4 linked regions of the Arabidopsis thaliana genome follow. The protein of the gene in region 2 interacts with the protein of the main gene of each other region in a pairwise test. Each region holds a gene or a part of one and is shown on either strand. Other genes may lie near its edges. The genes, in order: HB28, HB22, HB25 and HB31.

Region 1 (7,692 bases), on a different chromosome or scaffold from region 2:
GACGTGGAGGTCCACGTGATTTGTGGTTGATGATATAAGGCGACGGTGGGAAAGACGATGGCGAATTAGGAAGCGGAATCGCATCAGGTGTGGCGTAGAGAGCAGGTGACATCAGAGGACGAGTAACTGTCCTCTCATTAGGTAATTTACCTTTACCTTTCTCCAGTTTTGATATCGGTGGCTTTGAATAAAACAAATTAGTTGTGCTTGGAACACTCTCGACAGACGTGGAAGCCCCTGGCTCTAGCATTCTATCCAAAGCAATAGCAGAAAAAGTAGGCATGGCTCTGCAATCATTCAAGTATCAAATTAGTAATAAAAAAAAACCGAAACCACAAAGAGCGTTTCTTCATTTCAATCGAATCAGAAATCAACCAACAATGGTCATTCGCATAAGTGAGAATTAGCTATTGGGAAGGTACAAAGCAAACACCGCGTGCTCAAACCACAATCATCGGTATACCTAAACAAAACTTGATTCAATTCTCGCACGAAAAAAAGAAGCTAGCAAAATCAAATCACAAATCTGATAATCTAGAAGCTAACAATAGGTCAAGCCGATGAAAATGAATCGAATCTCTCGAGATTCAGACCTACCATAACGAAAATTTCCAGAAATTTCACCGAAACAACAAACAGAGAAAGGTGAAAACATCAAATCCGGAGGCGTAAGAGAAGGATTTACCTCGAGCGCGAAGGAGATCTCCACGGAAGAAAGCTGAGGAAGATTCAACGGTGAGAGATCGAGGTTATACGGAAGTAAGACGACGGCGGAGAAGATAAGAAGAAGCGTGATACGACATCGTTAAGAGGAGAGGAGGGAAGAAGAAGAAGAAGAAGAAGAAGAAGAAGAAAACCTCTTCTCCAAGGCTTTTTTTATCTCTTCTCAGCTTTGTATCTCCGCAAATATTTGAAACGCTCTGTTTTTTTTTTTTCTTCTTCTTTGCTTCTTCCTCTATTCTTGGCGACCCATTTTCTGATTTTCTTCGTTTTATTTTTATTTTTTTAAAACGTGTCTTTGGGAGACATTTGGAAAGACGGATATAACCTTTGACGGTAAGAGTTACAGCAAAGGACGGCGCTATACAATGAAGGGGTACTTTGTGTAAATAAATCGACGGTAGGGTTTCGTGAAGTGGTCGAAACGACGTCGTCCAAGGGATCTTGTTTAAGTGGGGTCACATCTCGAATATTCAGAAACGTCACTAAAACGGTGACGTGGCCTAAAAAGCAAATTAACCCATGGCCCAATTTTTGTCTGTTCACGAATCTGTAAAGCCCATTTTGAAAACGATTTTAAAAGTCTTTTTTTATTTTCTTGTCTTCGTCAAATCTGGGATTTTGATAATATTTTTAGAGCCAGGTTTTTCTTAAACGTGTTACGTGACCCATGTGAACACGCTTTTAATAAAGAGCGAGTATTCAAACTTGGTTAACAATATAGTTTTAAAAAAAAACTGGTCTTCACAAGAAATATGAGACTATGATCATATCTATTTTTTTCTCCTTAATATAATAATATTTTATTCGTAACTTTATTTTTTGATGAAAAGGGAAAATCAAATATGCATCTGTTACTGGAAATTTTGAATTTTTCTTCACTTTATTTTGAATTTGTTCTCACTTGATTTTGAATTCTTAAAATAAAAGCTAAGGTGGGAAATGAAGAATATAGAACATGATTCAAAGATATCAGCTCTGGGACCGCTTCTATATTAGCAACTACTACGAATTGATTCAGTTCATATAACATATCCTTTTAAATAAGAAAACCAAAATCAACTTTTTGATCATATATTAAAGTCAAGACCCTTGAACTTATCTTATTCTTCACGGAATCTCCATGAGAGTGTACAAAACACTCATCAATTCGTGCAAAAATGACTAATACATTGTTTGATGCATCTTTTCGAATCGAATCAAGGATTGTTTGGCTTTCTCATAGATTATATATTTGGAAAAAAAAGACGATATACAAATCTTTTATTCATTTTCCTTGACGAATCTATCTGTAATGAATCACTGGTGCGTTAGAACTCGGATCCCACACACCTCCTTCTCTCACATACTCCATATACCTAGCAAACTCTGGTTTCGCCGTTGCTAAACTCTTCTTCTTCGCCGTATTCTTCTTCTTTCTTTGAAAATGAACGTCAAAGAAACTAAACAAAGGATGAACAGAACCACCGGTTGGTTTCGCTGTCGGTGTCTTCTTCACTTCTTGAACCGGGTTTCTTGAATGACCATAAACACTAGCCGGAACGCTAGAGACCCTCTTCAGTCTCGCTTCTTCATCGCCGAGCTTTTCGTAGCCACCATGGATTTTCCTTGTGCTCATGGCTCTAAACATGGTGTGATGTGGTGTGGAAAAAAAGTGGAGTTCCTTTGTTTGTGTTTTAGGTGAGTTCTTGAAACTTTCTTCGTGATGGTGTTGATTTAAGTAGTAGGACAAGTTTGCTTTGTGATATGAAAAGGAAAATAGTAGATCTGTTTGACTTTTATTTTAATTATTGTTGTGTGTATGAGATCTCCAACTAACTAAATTAAATTTTTGTATATGTAATTAATAAAGCATGTGTTAGTGTTACACCCACATGATGTATACATCTTCTTGTTCGTCCCTATTAAATCGCCGGTCAAATGTGTGTTTATGCTGACTATTACGTCTACATCTTTTAGACAAATCAAATGGACAATGGCTTTAGAGTTTAGACTAATCTTCTTTGTCTGATCCATATCTAACAATATATTAATCATGGAAAAATCTAAATTTGGGGTAAAAGTAAGCAGAATAGATCTATTCTAGAATGCTAAATCTGCTCCTTACGATGGTTTAACATCAGACTGTTATCATGCATGTACATGATTATGAATCAGATTTTTCAAACAAAATCAACTTTCTATTCAGACAGAAAAAAAAAAGTATGAATCAGAATTTTAAAACAGCCATTTGAAGGATAAAAAACGCTAGAAGGAGGGGTCGAACCTCCGACCTTGTGGTTAACAGCCACACGCTCTAACCAACTGAGCTATTCCAGCTAATTGTACTAACCATACTTGTGCATTAAATTATTAATTACACACGTTTTTCCCTCTTTATTTGAAGGTCCAATTTTATCACTTTGTTCAACCACAAATTAAGTAAAAGAAAAAAATAATCCCAGATACAATATAAAACAATCAAAACATACAAGATTCCACAGATTTATACTCAAGATTTTGAATAATTTGAAGGGCAAAAATTATATATAAAAGCAAAACAGGATTGTAAAAATTTATTTCACTTTTATCAGATCATCAAACTATTCACTAATGTTACTATTGTTTCTCTTCATTGCTTGCTTGTTATTATGCATCCAAACCTTAAAAACTTGTCTCCTCAGATTCACCATCCTACAAAACTTATCAATCTCTTCTTCATCTTTCTTCTGCATCCTCCACCCTAATCTCTCTGCAAATTCCTTCATCTTCTCCTTTTGTTCTTCATTGATCTTTGTCCTCACTCTCTTCTTCTTCCTCATCATCATCATCATCAAACTTTTCCCATCAACGTTTTGGTTACGATGACTCAGAATCTTCTTCATATCCTCGCTTGAAGATGAAGTCCTCCGTCCAATCTCACCCGTTGGATGCATTACACGTGGCTTGTACGAGCTGTTACTGCTGTAAAACGCCGGAGTTATCATCAGCTGATGATCTTGTTTACTGTTCCTGTGTCCGTACACTTCTTTCCGGTGGAAGCTCCGGTGACAGTTACAGGCGGCGCATTTTAAAGCACCGAGTGTACCTTCTTCTCCGCCGGCCATGAACTCGCAGCATCCGTCCACCACGTGTCCTCCGGTTGAGGCCGCGTGGTTCTTCTGACATTCCCGGTACTTAGCTCCTTGGTCGACACGTGTCTTTGGTTTTTGGTTTTCTTTCTTGATCGGGAATAAAGCCATGGATGGATCTGATTCGGGTTTGGCTTCTGGTTCCGGATCCGTATGTGGCTTTACTTCTGTTGAGATCATTGTTGTGGTTGTAATTGCATTGCATTTTCCTCCAAGCTCCATTGTGAATCTGACCCAAAACAACAAAACTTTGTTAAATATTAATACTTATAAATCATTCAATAATGCATGCAAAAATCTCTCCTTTAATAATTAATAGACGACTTTTGGACTCACCTTAGGGATTATAGAGATGCTGCTTATTGTTAGAGGGGAGGAGTAGTGGAAGATGAGATTGATATTGATGATGAAGAAGAAGGAGAAATAGAAATTAAGGATGATGATGACGTATGTGTGTTTGTTTCCTATCACCCATCAAGTTTTATTTCACATGAGAATCCAACAAAAATATTGATTTTAAAAACACAAACCTACTAGAGAGAGAGAGTGTGTGTGTATGTGTGGTGGTGCCTCTTAATTTCGAGACATTGTCATATGTTTGTTATCTTTCACCACCTGCACCTTTGGTCCATCTCCCATTATTGCATTTATCTCTCTTTCTCTCTATTTTCTTTTATGATGATTATTGATGGTGTTACTAATTAATGTATGTCTGCAAAAAAACCTAGCTTAGTCAAACTATTACCTACTAAGTACAGACTTGAGGAGTGGAGAGAGAGAGATAAATGAGAGGAAAGTTATGGGATTATTTTAAATTAGTTAAATGGGTTAGTTTTCAAAACTTTTTTCTAATGTAAGTTAAAATTATGTCTTATGTATTGTTAGTTATAAATTTTTAGGACTATGATTTTAAGTTCTAACATATCATAAAATAGATTAAAACTTCGAACAACAATGTTTGTCAATCCTTTATGCTGTCATAATAATAGTAGGAGTATCTTTATTTATCGATCTCCACAAATTCTTTGATCAGATTTATTGTGATAATCAATGAGAAAATAATACTCTTACTATCATTATGAGAGGTATTTATGGTTTGCATGGAGTTAGAAGTTAACTACTATAGCTTCAATTTCCCATACAAATGGAATTAGGGTTTCTAATAGAGTTGTTTAATGAAATAAGCTTTAACAATCAGAGTTTAATGATAGTCTTGAAAGAGAAGACATGATAAATTATTTTTCTGGTGGGGAGGGTTGAAGAATTAAAAGTGTGAAAGAATGAAAAGCTGGTCCACATAAGCACAACAAAACCTGCACTTTTATTTATCTCCACATGCCTCATGTCTCATTTTTCAGATTCTTTGTTTCCCACAGCTGTGTAGCACTTTTATGATCATCTTCATTTCTTACCAAATATTGAAATCAATCAACGGGAATAGATTAGCCATATACTAAACTTTTATTAAGAGGTTTGAATGTTACGCGTGACATCTTAGACTTTTAAATTCGTCTCTCTGAATAAGAGTAATTTCTTCCTATAACTATTTTAAGTTAAAAGAAAGCAAGGGTTGATTTCACATCTGTCTTGGCAAAATCAGATCCAAGCTATCTACCACTTGATCAATTGGGCCGGATGAGACATTGGGCCAAGCCCAGTACAAGACAGAAACAAAAGACTTGGTAAATAAGCCATGCTTCTCAATATCCAAGTCAAATGAAACCCCATACATGATACATGTTTACAACAGTCACAGAAATATAATCCGTGGAATACAGTTAAAATACAAGAAGGATTTTTCTTACGTGCTCCATAATTTACAGACACAAAATAACTCAGATTACCAGCAAGTGAAACTTGGAAAGGAAGTGATGGGCATGGAAAAGCTTCTTCGTCACAGGATCATATTAACTGCCCGATTACTGAAATGATTGATTGCAACAAATCACACTTCAACGATAACTACCAGATATAGAAGCTTCAGTGATAAAGTATCGTCATGTTACTTACTAGGATTGATACTATTGCTAGATAAACAAGATACATCAAGAAAAGATAAATACTTTATGATTCTTGTTTTAAGATTTGGGAGATTTCTACTTCTAGAAAGCATTCCAAACAAAAACCAATCCAGAGAACTTAATGTCAAACAAATGTTATACTCCTATCCTTTCTAATCATGTAACTGTTCAAATTTCCAAGTCAAGCATGAAATATTCTATAAAGAATCAAGTTTGTCTATGTAACATAACAATTCTAGTTACTATCAACCTAAAAAGAGAGGTATTGTTAAACTATTACCAGGCAGGTGCTATTTGGTCTTACGAGACTCGATTAGTCTCCACATGTACCATGAACCAACAGACCTATAAGGACGCCATTTCTCACAAAGCTGCTCCATTTGCAATGGACCTGGAAGATTTTTCAAACCATAAAGATCTTTCACACCTTTCCTCACACCAAGATCTCCCACAGGCAACACATCAGGTCTATGCAACGAGAAGATCATAAACATATGAACAGTCCACACTCCAATTCCTTTAACCAAAGTTAACCTATCAATCAACTCTTCATCACTCATTTTCAGAATCAATTCATCAGAAAGCACACCGTTGTTGTATTTATCAGCTAGATCGTGGAGGTAACTAGCTTTTCTCCCGGAGACACCGATCTTACGAAGATCAACGGCGGAGAGTGAGATCACAGATTCAGGAACAACACCTGCTTCTCCACCGTTGAATAGAGAGATGAATCGATCGTAGATACATTTCGCTGCTTTCGTCGCGAGTTGTTGGTATAGGATTGATCTCGCTAAGGAGAGAAACGGAGTATTACTTGAGTCGAACAGTGGAGGATCGTTGTGCGTTGTGATTAATGCTCCGAGAAGTTCATCGGAGCTTTGTAAGTGACGTAGAGCGATATCAACAGTCGATTTTGTTGATAGAGGAGGAGACGCGGTGATAATGATCCTCGGCGACGGATCTGACGAAACTTTCCTGATTTTACGAGGACGAAATCTGATTCTAGAAGATGAACCAGAGACCTCTGAAACAGTGAGATTACCGGCGGAGATTAAAGAATCCGGCGGTAACGAAGATTGATTCACGGCGGTTAGGGTTTTACGGAGAGACATGACGACGGCCGAGTTTGTTAATTGTTAGTAATTGCAGAAATTCGAAATTTTATCACTCGCGACGATATTCTTCATTGGGCCTTAATGAAAATCGATAAGCCCATAATAAAAGCCCTGTTACAGTAAAAAAAATATGATCCAACATGTTAAGTACAACAAAACAGTTATTTCTTTGTCGACGCCTGAATTGAAAAAAAATAACGTATATTTTATATGATCGTGCAGAGAGAGATGGATTAAAAAGCTGGTTACTAGTACAAAACATGTTGCAGAATCGGTTCAGTAATAAAAAATCGGAAAAAGTAAGTAATTAAAAAGGAAGAAAAACAATATTCTTGAGAGCACATATTGACACGAACAAAAGGTCAAGAAGAGAGGAGTGAGTAAAGGACAAAACGACGGTCAAAATATAAAGGAGGAAGAAGCAGAGCATAATACGACAAATATATGTTCATTAAATCACTACAATGCTCTCTGATCCAAAACTGAAAACACAACAGTACCAAAACCCACATTGGTACGATCAGAATCTAATCTCTCCCCAATTCGACGATCAGATTTCAATCTTCACTACCAAACACCCTAATTTTTATTTTATTTTCTCTATTTTTTATTAACCAATAGTAAGAATATTATTATTATTAAAGTCTCAGTTGTGAAATTCAGGGACTCAGGTGGAACTGAAACTTCTCCGTTCAACTCTAAACTATATACATTAAAAGAGTTATA
Region 2 (7,433 bases):
CCAATGATAAGAGAGATTGCAATGGAATGATTCGCGGATCATCTTGGTCCATATACCATTTTAGCCGTGAGTTTTTTTCTTGGAATTTATGTATAGTTTTGTGATATATTGTTCGTGGTTAAACGTCAAATTCGAAACAAACAAAAAATGATGCATGTGAGATATGGAAGTCCAAGCCAAACAACATTTGGTCCTATTAAGACTGTACTAACTATCATTTTTTATTTATTAGAGGCCATCAAATCTTTGTGTAATGGGTTTTTAACTAAAACATTTCTTTCATGGGCCAAGACATTTAATTTCGGCTAAAAGGCCCATTAAACTCCTCCAAAACTAGGGCTCAGGCGAATTCATCTGCCTTAAATAGATTCGTAATTCTAGAAAACAGATTTTTTAGGGTTTCAAGTGAAAAGAGTAATAGCGCGGCGGAGCCATGGTTCTCAAGTAATCAATCTCTTCTCTATATCTCTCTTCTCCATGCTTCTCTGTTCATAGGTTTACATTGTTGCTAATGATCCATGTGAATATTGCTACTGTTGAAAATGCCAATTTGCTAAAATGAGCTTCTTTTGGTTCAAATCTGTTTATTTCCCGATCAGAAATGTCTGCAAATTGTGATTTTCTGGTACGAGATATGGCTTGTGTTCGGCAATAACTAGATCTTATTGTTTCCCTTCACTTTGCAACATTTTTGTTTGTAATTCTGTACATTGAATTAATTGTGTTTGGTCTCTGTTTCAAATCATTGTGACTCTTGTGAATCGTATTGTTTCTCTCATTGGGCAGATATCTAATTAGCCATTTACTAGTTCTGCTTTTAGGACATTGTAAAATGAGATGGCTTTGAATGTGTGTCCTGTGACTGTTTGTGATTGTGACCAGGGTTGGTTTTGGATTATCACTAAACCATTGATTATCTTTGTATTGTAGGACTGAGCTTTGCCGATTCAGTGGCCAGAAAATTTACCCTGGTAGAGGGATCAGATTTATCCGATCGGACTCTCAGGTACTTTATTTTGGTTAAATGTGTGCTCTACTTGTTAAGAAGAGTCTTATCTGTTGTTACTATGTATCTGTATTGATTAAATCATCTTTGGTTTTTATGGTTGTATTAGGTGTTTTTGTTTCTCAACTCCAAATGTAAGAGGTATTTCCACAACAAGTTGAAGCCATCTAAGCTTTGCTGGACTGCTATGTACCGAAAGCAGCACAAGAAGGTAATGTTTCTTTTTTTAGTTGCTTCTTGTTTTCATGATTTAGTACTATTGAATTCTGTTGTGATCTTTGTTTTCTCTCTTCTTACAGGACGCAGCACAAGAGGCTGTGAAGAGAAGGAGACGTGCAACTAAGAAGCCTTACTCAAGGTCGATTGTCGGTGCTACTTTGGAGGTTATTCAGAAGAAGCGAGCAGAGAAGCCTGAAGTTCGTGATGCCGCTAGAGAAGCTGCCCTACGGTTTGTTTCTTTCCCGAAGACAGTCACTATATACATCAATTTTTTTTTGAAACTGAAATGTGATTGATTCAAAGCTAATCTGATGATTATGCAGTGAGATCAAGGAGAGAATCAAGAAGACCAAGGACGAGAAGAAGGCAAAGAAGGTCGAGTATGCATCAAAGCAACAGAAGTCACAAGTGAAGGGAAATATCCCCAAGAGTGCTGCACCCAAGGCTGCTAAGATGGGTGGTGGTGGAGGCAGACGTTGAATGGAGCTATAGAGTAGCCCACTCTTCTCTCTTCACTTATCTTTCTTTCTTGTTTTGACATTGTTTTGTTTTGTCAGCCATTTTTTAGTTTTGCACCAGATCTAATATATTCAGTTTATGAAAACTTTTTGTTTGGTATCAATCCCCTTGTGTTTTACTCGTAGATCCAAAAACTGCTAAATAGAATTTTCAACTTGGCTTATTCTAGGACATTATTAGTGGTCTGAGCTAAATTGAGCTTTGGTTAAGCATTGATTATGGATCTAGAGTTCTTGAATCACGATGTTTCTTCATTAACTTCAACTTAGTAAAGAACCCTTTACACGAAAATCACTTAAACAATACTTAATACAAAGGAAAACAGAATCAGCCATAGAAATTGTTGCTTGTTTGGGACTAAAGCTACAAATTTGAGCCATTTTGGAGATATAACTGAAGTGGAACTTATATACTATTGCCTCAGCTGCAGGCTTTTTCCCAGGTTTGTTTCTTCTTGCATGAACTATCCTCTCTTATCATTGATTTCAGTTGTATTAGCTGTTGAAACAAAGTGAAAGTAACTCAATGGATTGTAACTCGAAAGCTTATTTATTAAGTTAGTATTGATCACTGGAGTAATTACCTCTTCTTGTAGCAATTCCTTTTCTCTAGAGACAATATCAAACTCTTGTCTTAGTGATTCATAGAGATGCTCAAGTTGTTTGTTCTTCCACCTGGCTTTCCTGTTCTGGAACCAAACCGCAATCTGTCTCGGCTGCAGCCCCAGTTCTTTGGACAGCTTCATCTTCCTGTCCGGATTCAGCTTCATCTTCCTGTCCGGATTCAGCTTTATCTCTTCTTGGAAACTTCTCTCGAGGAACTTTAGCTGCTCGCTCGTCATCTTCTTTTTTTTCTTCTCCTGTCCATTAAAACTGTTGCTTTCTTCTCCATAGCCACTCTCTACCATTGCTAGAGGAACATGAAGTATATCTTGTTGTGCACCCATCATTGTACCTAAACATCTGTTGTCTTGGTTTCCTACAAATTCAATACAAGACAGAGAGAGACTTGTAAAGCGACATACAGTTGAGTGAATGATTAAGCATTAAGCATATAAACTAGCTCTACTAAAACCTAGTACTATGGATGCATGTTACCTGAAAAATGGTCAAAGTTATAGAAAGGAGAGATGAAGCTGGAAGAAGACGCGCCATCGATGAAGGAGCTGCTCCAATATTCCATCTTCTCTTCTTCTTTTTTTTTACCTCTTTTGTCTATCTCTGCTTACAACAATCACTTTCAAGAGACTATTTTTTACCTAAACAAGGAAATGAGCAACTTTGGGTGTTTGATATGGGTGTATCTTTATCACTATATGCATATGTTAGAACATGCAGGAACATTATATATAGATAAGTAAATGTGGTTGAAAACGCTAGGGCTTCTGTTTTTAACTTCGGGTAACTAATTGGTCACTATCAAGTAAGATAAATATATGTGTAAATGAATGGTTTCATTAGTCTGACCGGTAACAAATAGTACTCCGAACGATGAGGGTAAGAATAGGCGGTGTTGAGCAAATGCATTATACGATACAAAACGAGCTAAAAAAAGTTAATGGTGATTATTTAGTTTGAAATTTTTGTTAAAAATTGATTATTATTCTCATATTCTCACATGACCTTGTATGTTTCCATAAGTAAGATATTTACATAAGTAATAACGTAGGTATTTCGTATTATACGTGACCAATTAATGTGGATTTTAGTATATATAAAAGAATAAAATAAAATGAAAGTAATGTGAGTTGAGAAAGGAACAGTAAGAGTAAGAGATAGAGGTGAAAAAGAAAAGAGAGAATGGTCCAGATTCTACATTTGTACAAATGTCTATCACTTTCTCTACCTTAATTAACCAACCAATCTGACATATATGAATTCAAACTTCTACTCTCAATCTGTAATATAGCCTCCAGTTTTCATCTCTTTGTATGTATATGTATTTGTAAAGTCCCCACAATCTTTATTTAACACTGTGGAGCTGCAGGGTGCTACTCCAACAGATAGATCAGAAGGGTCCAATTCTGATCCTGACAAAATTTGGGAGCACACAGTGCACTAGTGAAAATAGTATCATCATATCGATCTACGTGTTTTTTTGGTATGATCCGGCGATAAAGTATAGTTAGAAATTGAATGATGCAACTTATCTTGAAGAAATGGTAAATGCTTATATGGTTAGATAAAGATGAAGTTTCTAGCACTAGTTATGTTTCTCTAAATCAAATTCTACGGTTTAAACGTTAATTGTGACTGACATAAGTATATTTTGTTCCATTTCCAAAGCACGTAACAACTACATCAGCCAATTTTTGATGTGATTTCAAGATGGGGATATTTTTTCTGTATCAAGTCATTGGATTGAATAAAAATAAAAGATTTTCAAAGAAAAAAATCTTAACCGGTGATCCTAATTTTTTTAAACTGACTTTTTTTTAATAATTTATTTCTCCCTTGTGTATTAGTTTATACATCTTTACCAGAAACAAAACTGTATCTAAATCATTATTAATTTTTCATAAGCATTTGGAAATATTGTTAATTATATATATTTTTTATATAACATGTGGTATCGAAAACACGTATAAGTTGGGAAACGGAAAAAGAGCCACTAGTCCCATATGATTTTGCTTAAAATAAAACAATGTAAACCAAATAAATTTGTAATAGATTATAATCATAAAAATTGGTTTAACTTTTCGTGTTCACATATGTTAATGAAAGCGAACAAAAATCCTACAAACGCTAGAAGATAAGAGTAATTAGTTAAAGGCTCTTTTGAATCCCGATCGAAGATATATTTGATCATCAATGTTGGAAGGGATCAATAATGAGAATGTAACTACAATAAAAGTTACATATAAACAGAATAATTAACCATCAGGAGCATGATGGATAATCAAAGATGCCAAAGAGATCTACTTATTATCTGCTAGTTCTAAGCTAAATCAAGAAGCATCTCTGTTAGAAGCTGAAGGTATAAAGCCTGTTAAAATCTATTGAATTCAACACTTTGGGATCGAGATACGTAACTATTATTGTCACAATCCAATGAATAGAGAGAGTGTAGAAGTGATAAATTGAGTGAGTAAATACTAAATAGTACTACGAAGAAAGCTATATTATGATAATCTAAAAACGAGGACCATATAGTATAAAGTTACAGAGAAATAAAGCTCAAGAGAGCAGCGTGTTGTGTCATTTACTGAATGTTTTCGTATAAAGAAGAAGCTCACTAGAATTGTTTCCTTCTTTATAGGTCAAAATTCCATGTTAGTTAAACACCAAAACCAACGGTTAATGTTTTCAGTATATTACGTACTTGCTAAACAGAGAGCATGGTGAAATCTAGTATAAGAATTCTTTTTACAGACAAATTTGACAATAACATCTTTCTGACATGTACTTTGGCACTGCCAAATGCCAACAAGTGGAAGGCAGAAGTCACAGAACCTGACTTTCCATTTGCCATTATTACCTTTTTGGTAATTTAAGTCGAAACTGTCACGTGTCTCCCCGTCGTGAAAACGAAATCAACATTCAATACGAAAATAGACATTGGAATAACAACTTAAACTACGTTTTAACAATTACCCTAACATTAAAATGGTCCCTTTTAAAGAATGGTCCTTACGTTTGAACAAGACCCTTTTCTTTCAAGTTACAATTGTCAAAGCCTATCTATTTTCATTTTTTTTAAGTAATCACAATTTGTACCCACTTTACATGTTCATATTGAATCGACTGGTGATATGAAATGGTACAAGTTTTTAACTATAGTATGAGATACAAGCAAAAAATGGACTTTGAACCGGAATAATTGTGGTGTGATACTTTTTTTTGTTAACACAAGGAACATATGGAAACTTTCAATCCTTATTTGATCTGCCAGAGAGAGAATTGTTCTAAAAGATTCACAAAACTGAGAGCCAAAGATCAACAGTTTACGAAAAACAGGTCAAATAACATGATCACAAACCAAGTATTGCAATGCTCTTGATCATCTACTTCTGTGTTAACACTTTGATATCTACTTGCTAATTCTACTTAAGTTCAATGAGTTTCGGAAATATTGTACCTTCATTCTTCTGTTTCAATCCAATTCCAGTATCTGTGATCTTCGATTCCAGTTATCGCCATTCCTCTTGCCGAAATCGCCATACAAAACCGTCCTGTCGATCTATCAGCAATGGAAACAATAACTAACATTCGAAGTATAATTGGGCCGACCACTGTCAACAATGGGCCGATTTATAGATGGACAAAAATAGAATTGGCACGCCCGGTGGGACTCGAACCCACAATCGTTTGATTAGAAGTCAAACGCCTTATCCATTAGGCCACGGGCGCTTTTGTACTATCACCTACTTACATTTATATATATACTAAAACGATAAATCTCTTTGAAAAAGATTAACATACAATTACTAGAAATAACAGAGGCAAATCATGTGTATAACGGGGACATAACCTTAAAGAATAGATTTGGACAAAGTTTTGATTTAATTTCTTACAAGATCAAAATTGTTGCAACTCTTCATTAGATCTCTAAAGCTAGCTTTCAATTTCAATTTCAGTGTTATGTATACTCTAAAAAAGAAAAAGTGTTATTTCAGTTTTAGCGGATGTTGATATATCGTATTGTGATGTCACATTTGAAAAGAATGGTTTTAAGTATTCAACCAAAAAATTGGTCTAACATAAATGTGTTGATAGAGGTCCCGGCCGGCCACTTTTTAAATAAATCAAACAATAAAAAGTCAAAACTCTAAGAGAATTTAGTACACTATAAACTTTTGGCCTATTTATTATCTTTCGTGTCACGTTACATATTTTCGTATCTAGTCTTATTCAGCCTAACAACAAGACGGCAGAAATGTCCAAAAAATCTTTAAGGATCAAGCTGCGTACACTCATTTCCCAACAACACTTCAACGGTCTAAAGAAACATTTAAGTGTCTTTCCAAATTCACAGCCACATACATTTCAGAGTTGATGTTTTTTTTGTTTTGGATTGTTTTGTGATAAGTCTAACACTATCATTTGTACAATTTGTTCATATATTATCCCAATTTTGCAGTAAATGATTGTGTCTAGATCTGAACCACTCAATTCCAAAGAAATTTCTTCATTCACCACATTTTAATTGTGCTTGCTTCGTAATTCGTATATAATGAAAGAAACTGTTCAACAACTTCTGATTTCTAAAATCTTTTAAAAATCTCTCCGCCACTTCTAGTTGGACTTGATTTCTCACCATAGTCTGTCCCGTTGTTACCGACCATCTATTATATAGGGAAAGTCTCTTAGCTACAGAGACACAATAACCATTTGGAGAGGTCATGAACTCTAAGAATCGCATAAACAATGTCGGGGAAGGTGTTGATATCGAAATCCCTGACACTGCTCATCAGATTAGCAGCGGTTTGTCATTCGTTTTCTCCCTCTTTTTGTTTTGTTATATTAATTTTACTGCTTAAGATTTCTCAATTTATCTATTTAATTAACGTTGGATTAGTGCTCAATTTCAGTTTCTTTATTACTATTTTTTCTTTAAACTATGAAAATCATTTACAAGAAAGAAAGAAATGTGACCTAAGAATTCCATTTGCTTCTTCTTTATGCATGTTTGCAATATTAAGCGGAACTGTTTAGAAGCTGATATGATCGCATATTGGGGAAAGCTAATT
Region 3 (7,896 bases), on a different chromosome or scaffold from region 2:
TATTAATTTGTATTAGATTAGCAAATTCAACTAAGATGGTACAAACCATCCCACTAGACCCAAATACAAATCTAAAATATTTTTCCTTTCGTATAAAGAAAAACAAATTACGTATTTAAGAATTCCATACAATCGTAAAATTCTTTGAATCATGGTACGACATGACTAATTAACTACATATCTAAGAATAAGTAAAAATTGAAATGTAAAGCAGGAAAGAAAAAAAAAATTATTCATTGCACGTGAATCATCATCAGTTTCCCAAATTAGGGCAATGTTTATGAAGCTAAGAGTATGCCCATATCATATAGTTTAAAGAAATATAAAACCCTAACCCTAGCTTGTCCTACTAACCCTAGCTTGTCCTACATTTAAATTTACGCAATCAAAATAAAGCTTTTTACTTTTTCATATTAAAAAACTACTTGTTTCGAAACTTAGCTTGAAAGGGAGGTAATAAACCCTGCTTGCGGGTCACATTTAGATTCCCTAAATGAAGCATAACGACAGTAACAATTCCACAGTAAAAACACTGTGAGAATGATGATGATGGTGATGATAATGATGATGATGATGATATAAACGTATACACTCATATAATATATGTATGGTACATAATATACACATTGATGGGTCGTTGTCCGATGGGTTTCTGCGTATTGACTGAAAGATTCCATGAAGAGGACCACAGTAAAATTAAAAAATCATGTTTAAATAAATAGTATTATTATCTGATCAAAATATTATGCTCCTCAATAATTTCAATTTCACCATACATCCAAAAACAACCCTAAAATTCATTTACTTAACTACTTTTCTTTTTTTGATAAATTAACTTAACTACTTTAATTTTCACTACTTTCTATGAACATTTATTACAAGTTCAGACTCCAACGTATGGTACGAACATTTCTCATTACTGCATCAGCGAGTAAACATTTCTCCCCTCTGAATAAAGTCTATAATCATAATATTTATACATGTCCTCATCATTATTTCTCTTATAACTCGATTTATGAAGCAATGTAGACGAAATTAAAATTTCTAGCAACTAAAAGTTATACGTAAAATTACGATCTAACTTAGCCAAGATTTGTATTAAAGTTCAACTGAATTATTGAATTTTCTAACGAATTAGATATTGTTCGGTTGAGCTAACTGCGTTTTATTTGCGAAGTAACTGAAACTTTGGTCCATGCAACTATAATCATTATTTTCAAACAAGTGTTGATCGAAGTTTAAATTCGATCCGATTCATTAGCCATATCAATGAACTAATTGAGGTAAACGCGTTTGAAATTTGTGAAAACTAAATTTTGGACCAAAAAAGAAAGAAGGGAGAAAATGAAAGAGGACCACAACAAAGTCATCTTCACTCTAGGAGTGTGCAGCTTTAGCTTGGACAAGAATGCGTAGAGATTGCCTTATCAAGCAAAAGCATCTCTCTCAAGTCTCTTCATTTGTGTGTATATTTGTCTCTCTCTCACTCTCTTTCGAGTTTTACTGCACTGTCTGAGGGAGAGAGAAAAAGAGAGAGATGATGGAGAGGTTGAGACATGAAAAGCTATATATGGAAATGGCCGTGAGATGGGGACTCGAATCTTATCTGCCTCTTCTTTCCTTTTACAATCATTTTGGTTCCCTCTTTCCTCTGCATCTTTGCATTTCACCATCACTCAAAACCCTAATTTCATCTGAATTCATTATCTTTGTTTCTCTCAGGTATACGATGTAAGATAGAGAGATATAATGTATGTTCATATGTACACATACCTTAGTCAATAAATTTTTCACAAACACACTTTGCATAAAATAAATTACTAGGCCGAACCACTTTTGTTAATTATAATTACTGTAACTCGTTGAAATTGATATTGTTATTACTACTAAATGATTATGGAACCAATTGAATATGTTTTTGCTCGATTAAATTGAATGTTTACTACTCAAATTAAATTATCATTAGAGGTGAAATAAGTGAATGAGTGATCTTAAGAAAAAGTAAACAAAATTAGTTCCAGATGAAAGTCTAGGGATTTGGAAGAAGAACATCATTAATGCAGTAATGTATGTGTGCCCATATGTTTTCCTATCTTCTCCTTCTTGCTTCCAAAGAAGCCCACATGTTTCCTTCTTCCCCAGATCTTCAAAGAACAATATACATATACATATAATATAAGACATAAAGAGGATATAAGAAGCTTTGGATGCATCGACATGTTTTGAGTTTAATTTTTTTTTTTTTTTTTAAGTGAAGAATTAATTCCCAGGAATCAGAATACTGTTGCCGCAGCTAGCTGATGTTATTTCACCTTTTTCATTTCCAATGGAAAAAAAAAATTATTTAATTCACGCATATATGATAATAATATAAGCCATTGAAATACTTATTTAATTCTTAGGGCAGAGATCTCCATCCCAAGGAAATTCCGACCGATCCACATTTGAGTCCTACACTCATTGGACAATTAAATGACAAGTATATATATATATATAGAATCCCACATAAGATATAATTATGACAATAACCAATTTATCATTAGATATGTGTGGTAAAAAATGATCAAGAAAATATATAAACACTCAAAAACCTAGAACTTAAGAAACAAGAACACTATCAGATCTAGCTAGCTACAAATGTGTGTGTGGGTGAAAATAATGGTCAGTCAAATATAATAACACACAAAAACACCAGGAACTTAAGAAACAATATATAACAATGTCAACAAGTAAAAGCTTAGGCTGCACAAAATAAAATAAAAATGAAATCATATGCTAAAGAAGACATAAATAATGCATACACAAAATACATGTACATATATATTCAGGATCAAGTTCATATAGATTCATACACAAAACATGATAAATTCAAACACTGACAAATGTGATGCAAATAAGGACGTCAGTAATTTATAGTCAGACCAATCAAAGATTTTGCTAAGAGACTTAAAAAGCTACTAATGCAAAACATAATTAACCAGAAATTAAAGATCATCACCAACATCATCAACATCATCATCAAAGAGGAAAATGGGTACATAAATTAAACAATAAAAACCTTGTCTCTCAAATTTCTCAAGTAATTAATTAAGCTAAATTAAAACCCTAGTGATCAAAGAAATTCAAGATTCATGGTTGGTCTTGTTCATGATGAAACGAAGACTGTGGTGGTGGAGGAGGAGGAGCCTGATGATGATGAAGTGGTGAAGGCGACTTACCAAGAGTGTGTTTGTTGTTATGTAACCAAACCTTAAGAACTTGTCTCGGAACACCAGTCTCCTGACAAAATCTCTGAATCACTTCATCGTCTTGTCTCTGAATTCTCCATCCAATCCTCTCAGCTAAAGCTAACATCCTTTCCTTTTGCTCAGCCGTAAACTTAGTCCTATGCCTCTTCCTAATCCCTCCTCCTGCTTCAGCTGAAGACGTCTCCATTGGATCTTCTGATCTCTCTCTTTGTGGAGGGGGAAGAGCGAGCTGAAGAGGAGGAGCTTGTGACGGTGGTGGTCGGTAGCTAACCGGAGCTGGAAGACGGTAAAACCCTGGCGGGGGAGGAGGAGGCTGATGTTGTGGCGGCGCGTGATGGAAGTAAGGTAATTCCTTGCGGTGGAAGTTACGGTGACAGCCACAAGCGGCGCATTTTAGAGCGTCGATGGTACCTTCGATTCCAGCTGGCATAAACTCACCACAACCATCGACCGCGTGTCCTCCTATGTTCACCGCTTGGTTCTTGAGACACTCACGGAACCTAAACCTGCTCCCTCCACCGCCGTGAACAACCATGAATCCTCCGCCACCGCCTGTGGAAGTAGTTCCGGTGGTTTCATGACTTTCTGTCGAGGCTTTGGGGAGAACACGAGAGAGAGGAGGAGAGTCGTAAACGGCGTCGTCGTCTTCTTCTTCCTCATGAAGATTCATATCCTCTTCTTGCTCTTCGTCGTTGTTGTTGTTGTTGTCTTCAAACTCCATTCAAGAAGTCGAGAAATGTGAAACTACGTCGTTTTTGGGGAGAGGAGGTTTCTCAAGAAGGTGAAGAAGAAGAGAGAGATAATGTGGACATTAAAGAGATTATCTTTCTCTCTTTTATCTCTCTCTTTTGGATTTGCCGATTTGAGAAGTGTTTTTATTTTATTTTTATCTTTTATTTTTGCTATATAATTTCTTGTTTATTGGAAATCGGAATCTAATATAATCTGTCCTCAACCACACTTTGTAACGCTTTCTTTATCTTTTGCATTATTTCTTTCTTTCTTTCTAATTTTACTTGAAGAGCTATTATACTTTCTTATTAATTATATATTCCTATTATTTTATTCAATTTGGTCGTATCGCTCTGACCATGCATGATTTGTTTTAGTCAACTATTCTTGTATTAGATCACAAATTTTAACCATGTTTATGATATAAAAAGACACGTTAAAAAGAAATTGATTTGAGTTCGTGTTTACTTGATTCCATTTACTGTTTATTTTTTCCTGGGTTATTACTTAAAGTTGTAAAGATTGTTACCTACATGTGAAAATTGAACGAAATATTACTAATTTTCTTCTAAAAATGACACACTAAAAACTTATTTATGTAATCTTGAATTAAAATGATATAATTAAACATGTTTGTCTTCTTCAGGAGTAGTTCTAGGGCTCATCTTAAAACACACTAGGTAGCTTATGGGTTTTACAAGTTTTCCATAAGCTTTTGTTATTTTTGGACAATACAACAATACAAAAAGCTTAGTGTAGGATTAAAAAACAAAAAGAGAGAGGAGATGATATTAGAGATAACTTTTTGGGAAACTAAAAAAAAAGGGGATAGAATCAAAATAAACGCGATAATTATTTTTGTCCATATGCCAATAGCATAAATATATGCATTAATATTTTTCTGCAATAAAGTGATGGGCAGTCTAATCACATCAAAATCAGTAATGCCCTTAATAATTTCAAGGTCTGAATTTTGTTGTCAACTTTTCAGAATTATTACTAAATAATTCAGTATAAATATATAAACACTAAAATAAAACTTTATTTAGTTTTATTTTGTGTCATCAAGTAAACAAAAGTTTAATGATACATTAAATACTTGTAGATTAGTTGCAAATGTGAAGACGAAACGTATGAGATGATCATTTCTCAGCCTCTGATTAACTTATGCTGACGTTAGATCTCCGACGACAGTTTTTATCCTTTCACTATGCTTTTACTGTTTTCTTTAAACGACCAGCACTATTATATACTCATATAACTGAGTATTATTTTTTTAACGACTAGTCTCTTCATTAATTCAGTCGAGGGTCATTGGTCTTGTCAACACAAAATTGCATGATGAATTTACGTAAGTTATTTGTGAGAAATATAAAAAATTTGTTGACGTAGCTAATTAAATTTAAAGAAAAAACATACTATGGAGTATTTTCTTTAAAGAAATATTAGCATTGGTATACGAGAATTCGAGAAGGAAACCAACATTCGCTCTCATCAATATTCAAATATTTCCAATCTTATAAAACAATAAAAAGTTGAAAATGAAATAATTTTTCAATAACCAGATTATGATGATTTAAATTAAAATTATACTATAAAAATACAGCTGACCGTTCCTTCAGAATAATAGTATAATAAAATAAAAGTAACATCTGTGTCGCATCAACAATAAATGCGAATGTTTTTGTACGGCTCAAATTTCAAAGCAGAGATTAAGATTTAAGAGTGAATAATGAAAACTCATTTGACATGAACAAAAAAGTGTAATTTTTATGTTACAAGAAAAATAAAGATCTGAAAATATATAAAACACCGACTAAATATTAATAAGAGGAGGAAATGAAGCAAATGGATTCCTGAAAGACGTTTGAGATGACGTGCTTACGTGTTACTTGTCAGCTGGCGGGAAACCGCTTTCCTACGTGGAGACACACAGAGGATTTGTCTCCGTTCATTATTCGTAAATCATCATAACGTTACATTTCTTACTAAACCGAATTTCAAAATTTCTTAATCTCAAAATTAGAAATCATAAATAGGTTACACAAAAACTTAAAGAGACAGAAGTAGTATTATCAAAAGAAACATGTAAAAACTATTCAACAGTTTTATGCCAGACATAATTCATGAGTTAATAGATTTCCTAAGTCAATGATAGGGTCTTTGAAATTCAATTTATTGCATATATCTATACATTAATGTTGATACGGTCATCACAATTCACAACTAGACATTCTCACGAGAAATTATTTTCTACCTCTTATTAAAATAGTGGTTTGGTATATCATGAGAACAGGGAAAACAACACAAAAACTAAACCAAACAACTATTTCAAGATATAAGCAAATTGTTGAAAATAGATTATGATGATGATTTGTTAAAAGTGCATGAAAACTAAACAGTTAAAGCTTTGCAAGCGTGAGAATACTTATGATGGGTATACATATAAGTCTGAAATTACACAACCCATGTCGACGTCTACTGTTTATCATATATTTATTTTGAAATGAGGGGTAATCATATGATCTGTAATTCGATATGTTCAATCAATTATTTCATACAAGAATAAAAAAAGAGTTGAAATTTTGTTTTTTTTTTAAGACTAGAAAGCAACCGACAAGGCTAAGTTAATAGGGTATAAGGGGGTAGATTGAAAAAGAAGTAAAACTTTGTTACAAGTGGAACTCATAGATTATCATGAGATCCATTTGACCATTAATACATCTAAAGGACAATAATTTAACTCACCTTCTTTGATGCCCCCCTCCATATTTTTTGTTCTTCCATCATTTTTTTTTTTTGTTGTTAAATTCTCCTAACATTTTTCCTATAACAAAGAAAAAAGTTTGAATAGAGTTTTTGATATTGGCTGCTCATATATTTAAAGGAAGACAATTGTACCAAACTATTTGACCATCTTTGGCTCTTCTCTATAAACTGTAATTACATGAACGGGCAATCCATATTGGTTGGTAAATTTAATAATTTACGTTTATTGAATTGTCCCTGGATAAAGACTAAACCAGAAGAATAATCACATCTCACAATTTTATAAAATTGCAAGATCATCTAATCTAAAGTAAACCATACTGGAGTAGCTCTCAGTCACATCAAGCTTCTTACAGAACCTGATTCATCAGAAAGCATCTGCCTAATGCTCTGGAAGAAACTCAACATTGTCTCCTCAGCTTTAGTATCTGCAGAAGACAAAGATAAGCTCATTAGAGTAAATTAAGAAGAGACAGATCTTATGTTACTTATTTCAATTGCATATTTCTCCAAAAAAAATCAGAGCTTAAATGATCAGCCTTTCATGCTTACTAACCGAGTTTTGGTATAATGTGTCCACCTGAATGATGGATCACCACTGGCTCTACGAATGATTCTACAAGCACTTCACCTTCTATCTTCAGGAAATCCCTCTCACCTGCAGCAAAACCGATACAGAATTACAAACAAGTTGTCTCTTATGTCATATCAAATGTTGTAGGAGAGAATCTCTAACGTTAACATGTAGTGCTGCAGATTAGATTCTAGTCTAAACACTCCCATGCCAATCTTGGCTACACTAAAGGCACACTACTAACGTAAGCTTCAAACAACAGAAACTTGGCATTACAACATAACCGAGAAATCAAGTCAAGAACATGCGCAACGTAGTAACAGTTTACCTATGAAGTGGAGTGATGGGCAACGAACTGGAGATGAGAATGCATTAACAGCAGCTTTAGGCTCCCCAAACATCAACCCTGGAATTTTCGCTCCAGAAATGATAACTAAAAACTTGACTTTTGGCACCTTAGTTAGAGCCGATCCCTACAAAACAGTTTACAACATCACAGACTTACTCAAACTATTAAAACAACATGTTTCATTCTTCAATTCAGATTCAACCTCTCTGTTGCATATAAATGGT
Region 4 (9,220 bases), on a different chromosome or scaffold from region 2:
GGAGCCTGACCAGACCCGGAGATTCGAAATTCTCACCCCGACTCGAATCCCTAGAATGTACCATTCGGCGTCTCTTCTTCTGTCAGACGGCAGAGTCTTAGTCGGAGGAAGCAATCCTCATCGAAATTACAATTTCACGGCGAGGCCGTACCCAACGGAGCTCAGCCTCGAGGCTTATCTCCCGCGTTACCTGGATCCACAGTACGCACGTGTGAGACCGACGATCATCACGGTGGAGCTCGCCGGGAATATGTTGTACGGTCAGGCTTTTGCCGTAACGTTCGCGATTCCGGCATTCGGAATGTTCGACGGAGGGGTATCGGTGAGGCTCGTGGCGCCGTCGTTCAGCACTCACTCAACGGCGATGAACCAGAGGTTGTTGGTTTTGCGCGTCAGGCGCGTGAGTCAGTTATCTGTTTTCGCTTATAAAGCTGACGTGGACGGGCCTACTAACTCCTACGTGGCACCACCTGGGTATTATATGATGTTCGTGGTTCACCGTGGAATTCCGAGTGTAGCTGTTTGGGTTAAGATTTAAAGCAATCCTTTTATTATTTCATTAGTTTTTTGATTGATTTTTTGAAGAATTGTAGTTAAAAAAAATAAAAAATTGGTGAAAGTTAGTTAATAAAAAAAAAGGAAATTTCGGTTAAGACCCCTACTCCTCGGGAGAAGATATTTGATTTTGTTTGTCCTAGTAGTTGTGATGGTTTGATATGCTTCTACAATCTTTATAAATCGGGTATTGTAGTCAATCCAGCCACTAGATGGCATCGAAGTTTTCCTCCACCTAGGTATAAACAAGTCATTCTCGACAAATCTTCTAGTGAATATAGTAGTGTCTTTCCTTTGCCTTTGCTTGGATTCGGCAAAGACATCATCAATGGCACATACAAGCCGGTTTGCTTATATAATTCACTAGAAAGAGGACTAAGAAACGCTACTACGTGTGAAGTTTTCGACTTTAGGACCAATGTTTGGAAGTATATTACCCCTTCTTCTCCTTACCGGATCATTGCTTTCCATGATCCTGTGTACGTAGATGGGTCGCTGCATTGGTTCACCGAATGCAAAGAAATCAAAGTTCTATCTCTAGATCTTCATACCGAGACTTTTCAAGTAATCTCCAAAGTTCCTTTTGACATTGCAAATTGTGACAACATTGCCATGTGCAACTTGGATAACCGCTTGTGCATATCCGAGAACAAGTGGCCTGACCAAGTGGTATGGTCGTTTGATTCATGCAACAAGAAATGGCACAAAATGTTTACGTTAGATCTGAATATATTTTCTCATGGGTTTGGGAAGCACTTTTTGGCAGTCTCACCAGTAGCAGTTTTGGAAAAGAAGAAGAAAAATGGTAAGTTATTGTTATCTTCTAATCTAATATATAAGCAACAAATGGTGGTACATGATCCCGAAACCAAATCTTATGATTTTGTTTTCAAGAGTAAGAATTCTGGAAATCATGTTTGTTATTTCGAGAGTCTAGTCTCTATTTTATAAATAGATAGATCATTTTAGCTATATTTTTCCTAGTTTTTTTTTGGGGGGGTTTATATTCATGAAAATTGTAATTTCAAAAAGTTTAAATTATTGTTGGCATTTTCTGATCTATTAATTGCTTCTACATCATACATTGTAATTCATAGATTTTGTTTTTCTACGAAGTTAATACGCAATTGTACTTTTTGGAAGAAAACTAATGTTCTGTTTTCAATTGAACTTCAAACCATTCTGGCCAAAAAGGCTTCTCCAAACTCGCGTGGCATTTTTAGTTCCATTGAAGGTTTTGAAAATTTACGTTGCCTTGTTGACACATATACTTTGTAAACAAAATACTAAAACTCTTAGGTTAATTAGAAGGTTTTCTTAATGACCAGTGAGTTCAAGGTTTTATGACCATCCATAAATTTTTTCTAATCATATCAAAGAGATCATAACAGGTAAATAACATTTGTGAGTAATTTGTTTTCTGAAAGATTCAGAACTGAGGTATAATGTCTATGAGATCTGAGTATATTTAAAATCAATCTTATATGATCCACATCTCTTTAAAATGATAATTAAAAGTTTAACAAATATCAAATCCCAATATTTTCAAAACATTTAATCTCTTAAACTCTACAAAGTTAAATCTCATGACCAAATATATACGCTTGACCTCAGAGGGTCTAACATAACAGTTGCAGATCTCTGTACTAATTCGGGCTCGATCGATCAGTCTTTATTGAAGCAATATATAGGATTGTTTTGCAGAGAAAATGTGATCAAAAAGCTAAGAGTAGGAACAAGAGGGGACCTTGTTTTCAGCTACATTAATGGAGTTTCCTTCACAAAAAGATAATAAATAGGGCTCAGAATCTCATATTTTCTTATTTATTGACACCCAAATAAATGTAATAGTGACGACTCTCCATCCTACACATTTAGTCCTTACTGATAAACTAAAAATTACTTGGCGTCAAAAATTAAGTGCACTATATAGTTCTTATACAAGATTGTAAAAAGTTATTATTTTTATTCTATGGTATTTCATAATCAAATTGTCAAACCAAAACTCAAAAATTGAACCGAATAGAACTCCGAAATGACATTCTCACAAAAAAATCGTTTGAAAGAAGACAACTGAATGAGTTGGATGAACGCATTAAAAAATAACACATTCGACGCATGATACCTGATTATTCTATACAGAAACCAAAGCAAATCGAAACATGTGAACAAAAAACATAACATCTAATTATACCACAAATCCTTTTATTTATGAAATGGCACATTACACGAATTATAGTATACCTAAAAAGGTGGAAATGTTATTTAATTCTTGAACATACGTGATAAACAAAGAGGGTTAATAAATGTGATCTCGCTTGTGACACCAACTACATATTTACTCAACCTTATACGTCACACACGAGAGGACATGACTTGCAACTCGTTAGTACACTTTTCACATCTCTGTTAGCAGAAATTATTATTTTATTTTCTTTCTTTAAATTTTGTTATTTTATTGTATGTGCAAGATTGTAATAAAGAATGTTTTGGCCTAAAGACACATCATTCTCCTAACTAGATAATACAATTTTTAAGCTAAGGCGTGAAGTTGTGGTCTCCATAAATACAGTATCCATTTTAGATACTCATACCGATTTCAGAAGTCATGTAGATGAGCTAGGGAAATACGTATATAGCTTATCTTGCATGCAGATTTTGTGAGCACAATGATCACGAACTGCGAAAAGTCTAATGATTCAAAATGATATGTAACCAAAGTAGATTTTCTTACATACCCAAAAGAAGAAGAAGAAGAAGAAAAATACGGCTGGTCATACATTTATTACAACAAGATTAATATATATAACTTCCAAATAAATAAAACACAACAAAGAGCAGAAAATTATATAAAATCCATGGGTTTAACGAGAGATAGCGAAATGAGCTTATATATATAAAATAAAACCAAACCAGCTAGAAGATAAAATTAAAACCCTAGTAGCTAACATAAAGATAACTAAATAATTATCAAAGATCATATAAAAATAACGTTATTAATTATATCATGGGACGATCTTAGTCATGTCGTTATTACCGGACAGATCAACATTGTTGAGATTGTTGATCTTTTCGTTGTCGTTGTCTTCGAGGTTAATGTTGTTCTTCTTGGAGAAATGGATCTTGTTGTTGTGCATCCAAACCTTAAGCACTCTTCTCTTCACTCCAATCTCTTCACAAAACCTTTGAACAACACAATCTTCTTGCCTTTGTATTTTCCACCCAACTTTCTCAGCAAAACTAAGCATCTTCTCCTTCTGTTCCGGCGTGAACTTTGTCCTGAACCTCTTCTTCTGGTTGTATGGCAGGTTTGGTAGCGATCTAGATGCGGTGGTTACGCCATCTTCCTCCATAAAGTCCTCGGACTCGGAGTTGTTATGCATGTACCGGTAGTTAGAGACTCCAATGGGCATGATCATTTGGTGTGGCATAGCTGATCTGATCTTTTGGTGGTTGAGCATGAGTTTTCGGTGTGGAGGGTGTTGGTGGTAAGGGGACATGGCGGTGGCTGCGAGTTCGCCTTCCACTTCTTTTCTATGGAAGTTCCTGTGGCAATTGCAAGCTGAGCAAGTGAGAGCCTCAATGGAGCCATCTTCACCACTTGGCATAAACTCTCCACACCCATCAGTAGCATTGCCTCCCATAGCTGCTGCATGGTTCTTGAGACACTCCTTGTACTTTATCATAGGCTTCTTGATGATAGCGTTGTAACCAACATGATGAGGATCTTGATGATGATGATGATCATAATTGTTGCCATGACCATTACCATGTAACGGCATTGGAGGTGGTTGAGTAGTATTGTTGTTGTTGTGAGTTGGAGGAGCAGAATTAGCAGCATGATGATCATGATGATGGATCATGTGACCATGACTACCACCACCACCAAATGTAGTGTTTAATGGGATGGGCATATCATGATCTTCTTGACTTGCAATTTCCATCTTTTTTAATTGGGTCTTCTTCAAAAACCTTTTGCTTTCTCTTTGCAAATTGTTTCTTGGTTTGGGGACAGAGGAGAGACTAGCTAAGAAGAAAACAAGACAATTGGAGGAAAATATTAGTAACTAATACCAAAATGATTAAACTATTAAAGGTGAATACTTTCTTGATTAAAATCTTAAGAAGTTTCCACTTTTTTAGAAACAACTCACGGAAAGCATTTTTCAAATAATTTTACTAAAAGAAACAACCAAAATTTACAAAACCCAAAATTATAGGACAAAACGAAAGAATACAAAAAAATGGTAATTAAGGAAAATAAAACTCTTATTGCAAGCCTGCGCAAACAAAAGCTGACAAACGCACTTCGAAAGAAGTCTTCTACTTCAATTCAAGTGGGAAATTTATTATCATGACCAGTAAGTAAAAAGAAAATAAATAACAACTGTTCTTTGATTACCAATCTCCTCTTCTCTCCTAATTTTGATGAGAAATTAACAAAAGATAGAGAGAGAGAGAAGTCAAAACTGGTTATGAAAGAAATTTGAATCAGGTTCTTGAACATTGAACTGAATTAGGAACACATACCTTCACAACTAAAAGTAGAAAATTACTTTGATATCTTAATATGCTTCCAAAGTTCAGAACTCTATTGAAGATATTGCCCTTAAGAGAGACAGAGAGAAGATTAGAGATATTAGGGTTTTGTAATGAAAGACTTTGAAGGAAGAGAGGAGACAAAGATTTGCATTTGTGTTTGGATGTGAAGGCAATGTCTTAAACTAAGAGAGTATTAGTAGTGAAAGCCTAAAGCCTAAAAGCAAGAGAGAGAAAAAAAAAACTAGATATTTTCAATTTTTCACTCTCTCCCTTCCCTCCCAGTGACAAATAGAAAACAACAGCATTTAATTATGTCAGTTTTGTTAGTGTATTTATATTGGTTACACAAATAAATATGGTTTCTATTTAACCTAACTATAATTAAAATGCCCCTAAAAAAAAAAGAAGATCAGAGAATTAGAGGGGAGAAACAAAGAAAATTAAAGGTCATGGGGTGATTGCTTTGCTTGCACTATCAGACATCAAAATTTACACAAGTTTTAGAGAGAGGACTGTGTCAGGGAGTGGTGGGCAGAGAGTAAGCAGTGAAACAAGCATAAAAGTCATAATAAATAAAATAACTTAAAACATTCATGAATCATGAGTAAACGAAGCTAATTGCAAAAGAAAAAAAAGGTATGTGTTCTGTATATTTGGGGTTATTTGTTTTGTTGACAGAAGTATTTTTCTGTATATTTTATTTTTGCAAAGAAGATAAACTTACTTTGGTTCACAAAGATATAGATAATTCATACGTCGTCTATAACTTGTAAAACTTTGGACTCTCGAGGTTGTCATGTCATGCATGTGAATTATATTATTAACCAGAAGTTATGGTCCTACAATATTTCTTGTATATTTTATTCTGTATAATAAAAAGCCGTAATTAATTAATATTATTCAATAAGTTTTTAATAAATGAAATCCTAACATTATCTTTTATTTTATGATGATAAATGTTTTTTCTTGCATGGATTAACATTTCTCACATCTGCATAGTATCCAAATTTTTTTTTTTTTACATCAGTGATAAAGTGAAAATATTGGATGATATAATACAGTTGATAAGATTTCTTTAAAATATATATACAGGCGAAATAAGATCCATCACACGTCATTCGAGGCCAAGATGAATTATTTAGTTCACATACACCACATATCGAACTATTATTATAAACTATATATATCGTAATTTGTAAAAACGTTTCTGTAATCTTTTATAAGTACTCTGGAGTTTTCAATCATATATCCAACCAATGAACCAACTAAAATTTCACCATACATAAAATTGCGGTAGCATGTAAAAAGGCAGTGTATTTACAGCTGTAGTTATAATTATGTACCCTCATAATTTTTGTAGTGAATTAGGAAGCATGGGCAAAAGGATCGAAAGTTATGTGTTCGTTTGACTATAAATAGGAAGTCGTGGTAAAACAGAGAATATTGCTTAACATTTCAGAATTACTGCTCTTAGCAGTAGTAGTAATCATGTCATACAACCATTTCAATTTGAAATTACGCTCGTTTAATGAACCATTTTTTTTGTTAATTTAACAAAGACATGAATCACTTTGTTCTTTACTTATCCCTATGGTCTTTAACTCTTTATCCTTTACTACACCAGATCACATATATGAGATACTTTATCTTTTAATTTCTTTCTTGTTTCTGTTTTGTTGTATCTTCTTCTGGTAACTTCTTGAAATCCCCAATTATATTTTTCATAATGATTATTTTTGTCAGTAAATCATAGATGACTAATGTATTAACTATACATTTATCATAGTGCATTTTGAAAATCACTCGGTCTGGCATAACTATTGGATGAGGAGTTGAGCTCAAAACTTTGGATATATAACAGTATTATACTCTATTTTTAAAATGTATTTAGTCTATTAGTATTACGTTTTTTTTTCAAGTGACAAAATAAAAAGGGTCCACAAGAATAAATGACGTTAGGTCGATGGTCCAATATTGTTCACAATTTTCAAGATGTTCGTATTTACTCGTTCTCCTTTTATATTATGACACTTTAATTTGTGTATATATGTAAGTATTTTTTTTAGGGTTGTATATATCTGTAAGTTGTATATTTATTTATTTCCTATATATCAAAATAAAACAAGATTCTAAATGTATTTTTAGTGCTACAAAGATTGTATTCCTTTAAAAGACGGGTGAAATTTTGTATTAAAACACTTAAAAGATCAATAATATTAAGATTCCTTGTAAGTCGTCTCACTAATTATATACTCGTACATTAATTCTTTATATTAGCTAGCTATTAATTATATATATAAGTAAATACTCTATCAAAAGTTACAATTCAAACATGTCGTTTTAGTTAAAAGAAAGTTATAGTATAAACTAATCATAATACCTATTTTTAAGTGACAAGCGTGCAAAGGCAGACGATTTGTTTCTTCTTTTAGATGGAACCATCAATTTTTGGTCAACCAAAGCTTGTATCCTTCAAAAAAATAAAATCTTCTTTTAAGATGCCAACTCTCTTTTCACAATCTTTATCACGGAAATTCAAATACAATTAAGATTTCAATCATTTTACGTTAGCTAAATCAAATATAAAGATTCAAGTCACATCCACAACTAATGATGAATTAATATTAGGCTTGGTTAGTGTAAATATGATAACAATATCATTTGCTATAGTAATATTAGATTGAAAAGGTATGGATTATATATATCCCGTAATTAATGATTGTTAGATTTTATAATCTCACGCATCAGTTATTATAATTCATGAGTATATGAGTTATCATATATGATATGCTACGGTATAATACGGTTTGGAAGATGATACTATTTTTATTTATTTGACAAATGAATCAATACCAAACCTTATACGCGTTGATCTTAGTTCACCAAAATGATTTTACGAATAAAAACGTATTTTTGTAAGTTCCATCATTATATATACCGCAACAAGCATTTACTTTGTAAGCAACACCAAAAATGAATCTTAAATTTCACATTTTAGTCTTTCTCTTCCTTATTCTTATATGCATGTGTGTGCTGTCCTTGCTTTTCTCACACACCATTTCGATTAAACTCAAAGTTTGAGAAATTTGTTTTGATGCATTTTGTTATGTATAATGTTATTATAACCATTTAATTAAGTAACTATTTTCCTCAGTCGACCTATGATTTCAGTTACAAAACTTCTCCAATAACATATACAATGAATAAAAAATCGACACAATGAGCCCTATAAAACAAACCAAGAGGAAAAAGAGATATTAATTCAGCCGTTGGGAACATTCTCAGTCTTTATATTTCTTTTATTAATTCCTTTTCGTATGAGATTCAAAAGCCCCACACCACCTCAATCCAAAGAAAAGTATAACATGTTTAATTAAGTTTTATTTGATTTCTAGGGATTTCCAACATCTAATCATGTGGTTATATAGTATACACGGAAAGCTACGAATTTTTAAACCTATACTGCAACATTTTTATAGCTTAACCCAAGATGCCTCGTTATGTATTACAGTATATACACATTCCCATCACCTTCCATGATTTTATCTTGATAAGTTGAAAAAGATATATAAGTTGGAATTATTTTAAAGTAACCTTGCTTTGAATCTTAACATTCCCTGCTTTTTTCTTATAATTTTAAGTTTTTAACTAGAGCTAGTTTATTTAATTTTTATCATTATTCGATGCTGCATTTCGATACACTACTAGTCTACTCCTATTTTTTTTGGGTGTGTTTATATATAGTCATGTGACATAAGAACATATAAATAAATAACGTACGTATTTGATCTGGCATTTTATCTAAATAAGTAATCAACTTAGTAATGGATATCAAAATTCAAAATCTAAAGTAAAATACATAATGTGTACAAATTATTAAATATTAATACATATAAAAGTTCATAAGCGCACACATTAAATTATGTATACTAGAAACGGTGCAACAGACGAACTGGGGACCAAATTATGGACCAGCTCATAGCCCATTTGCTTTAAATAATCTAAATTCAGAAATGAATAAATGTTGGAAATGGTTCATGATGTATATAGTGGAGGAATATTGATTATCTATTCTTTTTATTTTTATTTTTGCGGAGGAATAATATGGGTTATCTAAAACCCA

What was found.
Region 1: the proteins of HB22 (region 2) and HB28 interact in a two-hybrid assay, tested with the Arabidopsis thaliana proteins (one study listed by BioGRID).
Region 3: the proteins of HB22 (region 2) and HB25 interact in a two-hybrid assay, tested with the Arabidopsis thaliana proteins (one study listed by BioGRID).
Region 4: the proteins of HB22 (region 2) and HB31 interact in a two-hybrid assay, tested with the Arabidopsis thaliana proteins (one study listed by BioGRID).

What each region holds. Positions count from the first base shown.
Region 1 is NC_003074.8:18,912,780-18,920,471, reverse strand, and holds HB28 (homeobox protein 28), read right to left. Parts: upstream 4,459-7,692; 5' UTR 4,167-4,458; intron 4,060-4,166; 5' UTR 4,053-4,059; coding exon 3,303-4,052; 3' UTR 3,086-3,302; downstream 1-3,085. Other genes in the region: AT3G50910 (netrin receptor DCC), read right to left, coding at 1-283; AT3G50900 (uncharacterized protein), read right to left, coding at 2,006-2,350; AT3G50880 (DNA glycosylase superfamily protein), read right to left, coding at 6,142-6,963.
Region 2 is NC_003071.7:15,344,820-15,352,252, reverse strand, and holds HB22 (homeobox protein 22), read right to left. Parts: upstream 3,043-7,433; 5' UTR 2,927-3,042; coding exon 2,842-2,926; intron 2,723-2,841; coding exon 2,328-2,722; intron 2,243-2,327; coding exon 2,165-2,242; 3' UTR 1,963-2,164; downstream 1-1,962. Other genes in the region: RPL24A (ribosomal protein L24), read left to right, coding at 434-444, 931-1,006, 1,116-1,217, 1,306-1,454, 1,549-1,705; ProT3 (proline transporter 3), read left to right, coding at 7,086-7,167. UniProt on the Arabidopsis thaliana protein: Probable transcription factor.
Region 3 is NC_003076.8:26,132,252-26,140,147, reverse strand, and holds HB25 (homeobox protein 25), read right to left. Parts: upstream 4,147-7,896; 5' UTR 3,970-4,146; coding exon 3,130-3,969; 3' UTR 2,594-3,129; downstream 1-2,593. Other genes in the region: AT5G65400 (alpha/beta-Hydrolases superfamily protein), read right to left, coding at 7,086-7,177, 7,306-7,407, 7,652-7,796. UniProt on the Arabidopsis thaliana protein: Putative transcription factor.
Region 4 is NC_003070.9:4,935,516-4,944,735, forward strand, and holds HB31 (homeobox protein 31), read right to left. Parts: upstream 5,818-9,220; 5' UTR 5,086-5,817; intron 4,583-5,085; 5' UTR 4,500-4,582; coding exon 3,561-4,499; 3' UTR 3,239-3,560; downstream 1-3,238. Other genes in the region: AT1G14430 (glyoxal oxidase-related protein), read left to right, coding at 1-538. UniProt on the Arabidopsis thaliana protein: Putative transcription factor. Probably involved in the regulation of floral induction.